Macaca mulatta: one gene and its partner. The protein of the gene in region 2 binds, or shares a complex with, the protein of the main gene of each other region. Links are inferred from orthologs where the notes say so. Each region holds a gene or a part of one and is shown on either strand. Other genes may lie near its edges. The genes, in order: ASB9 and CKB.

The links.
Region 1: the proteins of CKB (region 2) and ASB9 are in contact, whole or in part, in a cryo-EM structure (PDB 6V9H), measured with the Homo sapiens proteins. The link is inferred for Macaca mulatta from reciprocal best matches to the Homo sapiens genes CKB and ASB9. Residues at the interface, in NP_001814.2 of Homo sapiens: Asn63, Pro64, Gly65, His66, Pro67, Tyr68, Ile69, Thr71, Arg130, Arg132, His191, Val198, Ser199, Pro200, Leu201, Leu202, Leu226, Trp228, Glu232, Ile238, Met240, Asn286, Arg292, Gly303, Lys304, His305, Glu306, Lys319, Arg320, Gly321; in NP_001026909.1 of Homo sapiens: Leu25, Asn27, Pro28, Leu29, Met30, Gly31, Asp32, Ala33, Val34, Ser35, Asp36, Trp37, Pro39, Glu42, Ile45, His46, Trp60, Ala67, Asp68, His69, Glu75, Ala100, Asp101, Trp102, Val111, Asp133, Leu134, Ser165, His166.

The regions. Positions count from the first base shown.
Region 1 is NC_133426.1:14,924,490-14,928,390, forward strand, and holds the start of ASB9 (ankyrin repeat and SOCS box protein 9), read right to left. Parts: upstream 2,775-3,901; 5' UTR 2,590-2,774; intron 2,576-2,589; exon of another isoform or gene 2,471-2,575; 5' UTR 2,337-2,470; coding exon 2,243-2,336; intron 1-2,242. UniProt on the Homo sapiens protein: Substrate-recognition component of a cullin-5-RING E3 ubiquitin-protein ligase complex (ECS complex, also named CRL5 complex), which mediates the ubiquitination and subsequent proteasomal degradation of target proteins.
Region 2 is NC_133412.1:176,941,759-176,945,659, reverse strand, and holds the start of CKB (creatine kinase B-type), read left to right. Parts: upstream 1-1,073; 5' UTR 1,074-1,122; intron 1,123-1,412; 5' UTR 1,413-1,424; coding exon 1,425-1,617; intron 1,618-1,740; coding exon 1,741-1,895; coding exon of another isoform or gene 1,896-1,967; coding exon 1,968-2,100; intron 2,101-2,483; coding exon 2,484-2,655; intron 2,656-3,382; coding exon 3,383-3,506; intron 3,507-3,660; coding exon 3,661-3,850; intron 3,851-3,901. UniProt on the Homo sapiens protein: Reversibly catalyzes the transfer of phosphate between ATP and various phosphogens (e.g. creatine phosphate).

The DNA of each region.
Region 1 (3,901 bases), on a different chromosome or scaffold from region 2:
AGGAGTTCGAGACCAGCCTGGCCAACGTGGCGAAACCCCATCTCTACTAAAAATACAAAAATTAGCCAGGCGTGGTGGCGGGCACCTATAATCCCAGCTACTCGGGAAGCTGAGGCAGGAGAATCGCTTGAACCCGGGAGGCGGAGGTTGCAGTGAGCCGAGATCCCGCCATTGCACTCCAGCCCGTGCGACAGAGTGAGACTCCGTCTCAAAAAAACCAAAACAGGCCGGGCACAGTGGCTCACGCCTGTAATCCCAGCACTTTGGGAGGCCGAGGCCGGTGGATCACGAGGTCAGGAGATCCAGACCATCCTGGCTAACACGGTGAAAACCCGTCTCTACTAAAAACACACAAAACATTAGCCTGGCGTGGTGGCGGGCACCTGTAGTCCCAGCTACTCGGGAGGCTGAGGCAGGAGAATGGCGTGAACCCGGGAGGTGGAGCTGGCAGTGAGCCGAGATCGCGCCCCTGCACTCCAGCCTGGGCGACAGAGCGAGACTCCGTCTCAAAAAAAAAAAACAAAAACAAAAACCCTGACTGACTTCAGGGTCTCTCCCTGTTTACTGCCCCTTTAATCAGCAGGTGCTGTGGGCAGTATACCAGGTGTGTGTGTGTGTGTGTATATATATTTACACACTTTTTTTTTTTTTGAGATGGAGTCTCGTTCTGTGGCTCAGGCTGGAGTGCAGCGGTACGATCTTGGCTCACTGCAAGCTCCACCTCAGCCTCCCGAGTAGCTGGGACTACAGGCGCCCACTACCACGCCCGGCTAATTTTTTTGTTATTTTTTGGTAGAGACGGGGTTTCACCGTGTTAGCCAGGATGGTCTCGATCTCCTGACCTCGTGATCCGCCTGCCTTGGCCTCTCAAAGTGCTGGGATTACAGGCGTGAGCCACCGCGCCCGGCCTGTTTTGGTTTTTTTGAGACGGAGTCTCACTCTGTCGCACGGACTGGAGTGCAATGGCGGGATCTCGGCTCACTGCAACCTCCGCCTCCCGGGTTCAAGCGATTCTCTTGCCTCAGCCTCCCGAGTAGGTGGGATTACAGGTACGTGTAATCCCAGCTAATTTTTGTATTTTAGGTAGCAACGGGGTTTCACCATGTTGGCCAGGATGGTATCATGACCTCGCGATCCGCCTGCCTCGGCCTCCCAAAGTGCTGGGATTTCAGGTGTAAACCACCGTGCTCCGCCTATATAAGCCTGAACCCAGGAGACGAAGGTTGCAGTGAGTCAAGATTGCGCCACTGCACTCCAGCCCGGGCAACAGAGCAGGACTCCGTCTTAAAAAAAAATTAATAAATAATAAATACATCAATTCAGCAAGGCTGTGGCAACACCAGCTTTCCCAGCCCTGGGTGCTGGGGCTTGTCACCATAACAAGCCCCCAAGGATCTCAACAGGGTGAACAACAGTTGCAGAAAGTGAGCTGTTTCCTTCACCCTCACCCTGCTCCCTTTGCTCTCCAAAAGTTACGAACTTTGAGTCTCCTTCCTGATAAACTCCAAGGCTTCCTCACTGACTGGTCTCAGTTTGGGAAAGGATGTGGCATCAACTTTGCAGACTTGGGGCTGGAGAGTTAACCAGTATATTACTAACCAATACACTATTATTTATAAAAACCTGTGTGCAAATGCCTAAACAAATTTTTCTGAATCCTTTTAGCCAACAAGCACCTGCTGAATGCTCACCAAAATGTGTATTTGTGGCATTCTGTACGTTAGCACAGACACCACCTGACAGATGAGAATACCTGTAAGATGATTCTCCAATGTTTAAGTAAAACAAAGTCTCTTTTGTCTCTTTTGAAAGTGACTCAATCAGTGCTCAATGTTTGAACATCATTTATAAACCCTGCCCCGCCTAAATACCAAACACCTAAGACTTGCAAATTAAGAAAAAAGTTTTAGCATTAAAAATTTTCCTGTTTGTAAGTAACTTTCAAACCTCTAATGTAATAAATAATGCATCTGACCCACAAAGAATGATTCCTGGGAGCTGAAATTTTCACTGGAGAATAATTTGGGACAACTGAATTTGTGTTGTATGTAGGATTCTGCAGAAAGAAGTGTACACATTTTTGAACAGCTGTGTAAAGGATATATATCAGCGACCTGTGGGCATCTGCCCAGTAACAGACCCATGGACACCTCACACAGAGCCACTGAAACTGCCCAACCCTCCTCTCCTAAGCACATTAGCCAACCTCCCCAGGGCTGATTCCACTGCCCCTATGACTCACCACTCATCAATGGGTTTGAAAGAAGCCTGATGTCAGGAGAGTCTCTTGGCCCCGCGGGCTTGCTCCCATCCATGTCCCCTTGTTTGCCATCCATGATGCTCTCTCCTAAGTGAGCAAGCTCTGCGCTCCACTTCAGTTGCTCAGCAAAGTCCAAACTCCATGCTCCCCCGCTCCTGAAAAATTCCAGTTCTGTGGCTGGCTGAGCTGCACACGTCCTGGTCAAATGGTCTGCAGCAAAGAACAGAGCAGGCAGGGTAATCTGAGTGCTACCTGTGGTCAGAGAGGCACACGCTCGTGTACACACACACACACACACACACACACACACACACACACACACGCTTTACCTAACTGGCTGGAGGCCCGCCAGAGGCCACAAGAACCCTCCAGCCCTAAGTCTGCGAAGTTGCTGATGTCACGTCCTTTTCCAAACTGAGACCAATCAGTGAGGAAGCCTTGGAGTTTATCAGGAAGGAAACTCACAGTTTGTAACTTTTGAGAGTGAAGGGAGCAGGGTGGGGATGAAGGAAACAGCTCACTTTTTGCAACTGTTGTTCACCCTGCTGAGATCTGTTTGTTACATGGTAGCTTGTTATGGAGACAAGCCCGAGCACCCAGAGCTGAGAAAGCTGGTTTTGCAGCAGCCCTGCTGAATTGCTTGCACAGTAACATGCACAGCACGCCCTGGCCATCTGCACATGTGCTTTCAATTGTGCTGGGAGTTTCTTATGGGAAAATGTGTCTATATGTTACAAAAAATGTACCTTTGGAAAGAACCATTTTGTTCCTTTCGGTTGCAAGAACTTCACTAAATGTCCTACCTCACCTTTCCTCCACTCATTTTATTTTAACTAAGTAAATAATGAACGGTTGCAATTGGAAAAATGGATTGCTAGGTGGCCTGGGATGTGGAGGAGACCCGCTATCTTTCCATTGTGAATTACTACAACTTATTTTGTTAACGTTTTGCTGTTTTTGCTTATACAAAACATTTGGGGCCGGGCGTGGTGGCTCATGCCTGTAATCCCAGCACTTTGGGAGGCCAAGGTGGGCGGATCACGAAGTAAGGAGTTTGAGACCAGTCTGGCTAACATAGTGAAACCCCGTCTCTACTAAAAATACAAAAAAATTAGCTGGGCGTGGTGGCAGGCGCCTGTAATCCCAGCTACTCGGGAGGCTGAGGCAGGAGAATCGCTTGAACCCAGGAGGCAAAGGTTGCAGTGAGCTGAGATCACGCCACTGCACTTCAGCCCAGGTGACGATGCGAGACTCCAGCCCAGGCGAATGCGAGACTCCAGCCCAGGCGATAGTGCAAGACTCCACCTCAAAAAAAAAAAAAAAAAAAAAAAAAAAAAATTTGGATGCTCTGTGTCCATGTCTTTTCAGATAAGCCCAGTTGCCTCACACCCTGGGTGCTACTTCAGGCTGACAGGCACCTCTAGGCTCCCACCGTTCCTCTCTTCCAGGCGGAAGAGGATTTTTCATCCCCATGGGGGAAGGCTCTGAGTTAAGTCTCAAGCATAGACTGGCTGTGAAGTGATTGCAGATTTGTCTTAATGCCAAAGATGAGGACTAGATGTTTTAGATTTACGGAGTCTCAGTTAAAACATTTGGTGGCTGTTATTAACAGTTTGAGGGGTGTCATTCACATTTTTAAAG
Region 2 (3,901 bases):
TGCTGGGATTACAGGCTTGAGCCACCGCGCCCGGCCCCCAACATTGTTAATGTTAATAGATTCTGCCAAATTACCTTGCAAAAAGCAGGCAGCAATTCAAGTTGCAGGCAGCGTGCGGACGCCTGTCTCCCCTCATTCCAACTCATAGCCAGCACTGGCTGGAGTCGATCTGGGAGTGCTGGGGGTAGGGAGAGGTGGAGTCACTGCTTAATTTGCATGACTCTAGTTATTCGTGAGATTTTTTTTTCTTCTTCTTCTTTAAATCGCATTTATGCTTATTGTTTATTAGCGTTTCCTCCCATCCTTGCCAGAAGTCTCTGGGGACTGCCTTTGGGGGTCGGGTGAGCTTGTCCCCTGCGAAGAGGGCCCAGGGTTGGGGTCTGGAAACTCCAAGGCTGCACTTGCCAGCGGCCTCTTAAGACCACAGTGTCCGCGTGGTTTCTGGCTCGCATTCCCCAGAGCCCCAGGACTTGTCCAAGGTCAGGGCACCGCGGGTGCCCCCGGGCTGGGCCGCAGCCAGACTGCGCCTCCCGCGCGCCTTCGCTTTGCACCAAGATCGCCCAGGAGATGCCTGCGGGCACCTTGAGGAAGATCGGCGGCTCCGGGCCAGCTCGCACTGGCCGGGGGTGGGGTGGGGGCAGTACCTGCTGCGGAAGCCCTGAACGCTTTCGCCCGGCCCCTCGCCGCCGCCGCGGGGGCTGGCTGGACTAGGCGGGCAGGCTGGAGGATGCGGATGAACCCGAGCGTCCTCGAGTGCCCAGAGGCTCTCCGCCTCAGTTTCCCGCTCGGAGGCAAGGGCGTGCGAGGGGATCCAGATATTCAAGGATCTGAGGTTTCGGCCTCGAGGTCTTGGGCGGGGGACTGGGCAGGCTGCGCGGGGTCCCAGCGGGGAGACGGCTCGGGTGGGCGGCCGGGGGTGTCAGGGGCTGCGGGCGGCGGACAAAGCGGCGGCACCACCCCGCGGCGCGGGCCAATGGAATGAATGGGCTATAAATAGCCGCCAATGGGCGGCCCTCGTTGCGTCCCTTAAGAGCCGCGGGAGCGCGGAGCAGCCGCTGTTCGCCTGCGTCGCTCCGGGAGCTGCCGACGGACGGAGCGCCCCCGCCCCCGCCCGGCCGCCCGGTGAGTGGGCCCGGGGGCCGGGGGCGTCGGCGCCGGGGCTAGGGGCGCTGCGTGCAAAGGGGGCGCGGGCGCTGCGGCGTCACGCGCTCCGGGCGCGTTGCCTGGAGCGCGCGCCGGACCGGCCGGGGGTCCCGGGCGATGATGGCGCTCCCCCGTGCGCGCTGCGGACCCCTCTGACCTTGGCCGCGTCCCGGGGGCGCCGAGGGGCCCGGCGGCGGGGGCCTGAGTGGTACGCGGGAGTCCGGGAACCCCGGCTTGCCGGTCCCTGCTGACCCCGCGTCTCCCCGCAGCCCGCCGCCGCCATGCCCTTCTCCAACAGCCACAACGCGCTGAAGCTGCGCTTCCCCGCCGAGGACGAGTTCCCGGACCTGAGCGCCCACAACAACCACATGGCCAAGGTGCTGACCCCCGAGCTGTACGCGGAGCTGCGCGCCAAGAGCACGCCGAGCGGCTTCACGCTGGACGACGTCATCCAGACAGGCGTGGACAACCCGGGTACGCGACCCCTCGGGGCCGGGGTCCCGGCGCCCCCTCCCCGCGCGCAGCCGCACGGTCCTCAGCAGCGCGCTCGGGCCCGGCAGTGACGTCACTGTCTCCGTCCCGCGCCCCCTCCCCTAGGCCACCCGTACATCATGACCGTGGGCTGCGTGGCGGGCGACGAGGAATCCTACGACGTGTTCAAGGATCTCTTCGACCCCATCATCGAGGACCGGCACGGCGGCTACAAGCCCAGCGATGAGCACAAGACCGACCTCAACCCCGACAACCTGCAGGTGCGGGGCGGCGGGCGGGCCGGGCGGGCCGGGCCGGGGTCTCCGGGCGCTCACTCCCGTCTCGCCCCCCAGGGCGGCGACGACCTGGACCCCAACTACGTGCTGAGCTCGCGGGTGCGCACGGGCCGCAGCATCCGCGGCTTCTGCCTGCCCCCGCACTGCAGCCGCGGGGAGCGCCGCGCCATCGAGAAGCTCGCGGTGGAAGGTAGGGGCCGGGAGGGCCAAGGGTCGGCGGCGGCTGCGTGCCCCTCCCGGCGCGGTCCCCGCCCGCTTTTGTTTATGTCGCCTGGGAGCGGCAGCCGCCGCCGCGCTCTTATCTGCGCGCCCCTGGGTTCAGTTTCCCGGAGGGACCGAGGGACGGAGGCCCAGCCCCGCGCCCACAGCGGCCTGGGGCCCAGGGAGGGCGGGTCCTGGCGCGGGGTCACCGACTGGGACCGTCGCCCGGGCCATGAGGACTGGACGCCCGCAAGTCTGGGCGGGTGGGGGCCTCTGACGTCCCCCGGGGTGAAGCACGGGGGCGGGCGGGTCCGCGCTGTGGGCTGGAGGGGCGGGCGCGGCAGCCGAGCGTCCTGAGCGCACGCCCCGCAGCCCTGTCCAGCCTGGACGGCGACCTGGCGGGCCGGTACTACGCGCTCAAGAGCATGACGGAGGCGGAGCAGCAGCAGCTCATCGACGACCACTTCCTCTTCGACAAGCCCGTGTCACCTCTGCTGCTGGCCTCGGGCATGGCCCGCGACTGGCCCGACGCCCGCGGTATCTGGTGCGTGTCCCTCTGCGCCCTCTCGCGGCGTCCGCCCTCTCCGCCGCCTCCCCTTTCCCTCTCGCCCCCCTCGCCGGGGTGGGGCCCCTCGCGGCAGGGAGGAGAAGGAGGAGAGGAGGAGGAGGAGAGGGAAGAGAGGAGGAGGAGGAGAGGGAGGAGGAGGAGGAGGAGGAGGAGGAGGAGGAGGAGGAGGGAGGGGCCGGCCGCGCTCCGGGTCTGGGTTACGTGCTGCGCCTCCCGCGCAGGTGACCTTGGCCGAGCAGGTGCGTTAAGGTACTGGGCCCAGGCCCCTGGGGGTTCAGGACTCAGCCCCTCTAGAGACGTGAGGTGGGGGCGGGGCCCCTGGCGCCTCTGCCCGACGCCCCTCGGGAGCTGGAGCTCCTTGTTTTCTCACTCCTCAGTCGCTGGGATTCTACCAGGGGCTGGTGACGCAGAAGCTTCTCCGGGGGCAGGGCTCCTACCCCCACTGTGGGGGGCGGGCGGGGCTGTCCTGGCGGTCCCTGGCCCTGCCCCACCTCAGACCACTGCACGACGTGATGGCAGCCGGGGTTCTGCTCACTGTGAGGCGTCTCGGCCCCGCCTGCCCCGTGTTGGGCGGAGTCTTGGCAGCAGCCCCTGCTCCAGGGCACGGTTGCGAGCAGCACCTCGGGGACTTGGGAAGTTCCTTTGGTCTGGGGACGGCCTGGGGCTTTTTTCTGGATATGCCCTGAGACCAGCCCTCCCGCAGGCACAATGACAATAAGACCTTCCTGGTGTGGGTCAACGAGGAGGATCACCTGCGGGTCATCTCCATGCAGAAGGGGGGCAACATGAAGGAGGTGTTCACCCGCTTCTGCACCGGCCTCACCCAGGTGCCAGGGACGGGGCAGGCCCAGACCCCAGGGCTCCAGCAGGGATGTGGGTGCCCCATCAGTCCCCCTGGGGGATTTCTGGGACTTGGGAGTCTCAGGGCCTGTGGGGGTCTCGGGCAGGCCTTCTCCCTCATACCCTTTTCTCCGTCTGCAGATTGAAACTCTCTTCAAGTCTAAGAACTATGAGTTCATGTGGAACCCTCACCTGGGCTACATCCTCACCTGCCCATCCAACCTGGGCACAGGGCTGCGGGCAGGAGTGCACATCAAGCTGCCCCACCTGGGCAAGCATGAGAAGTTCTCGGAGGTGCTTAAGCGGCTACGACTTCAGAAGCGAGGCACAGGTGAGCAGGGCGGGTGCTGCAGGCTTCCTGTTGGCCTTTGGACAGCCCTGT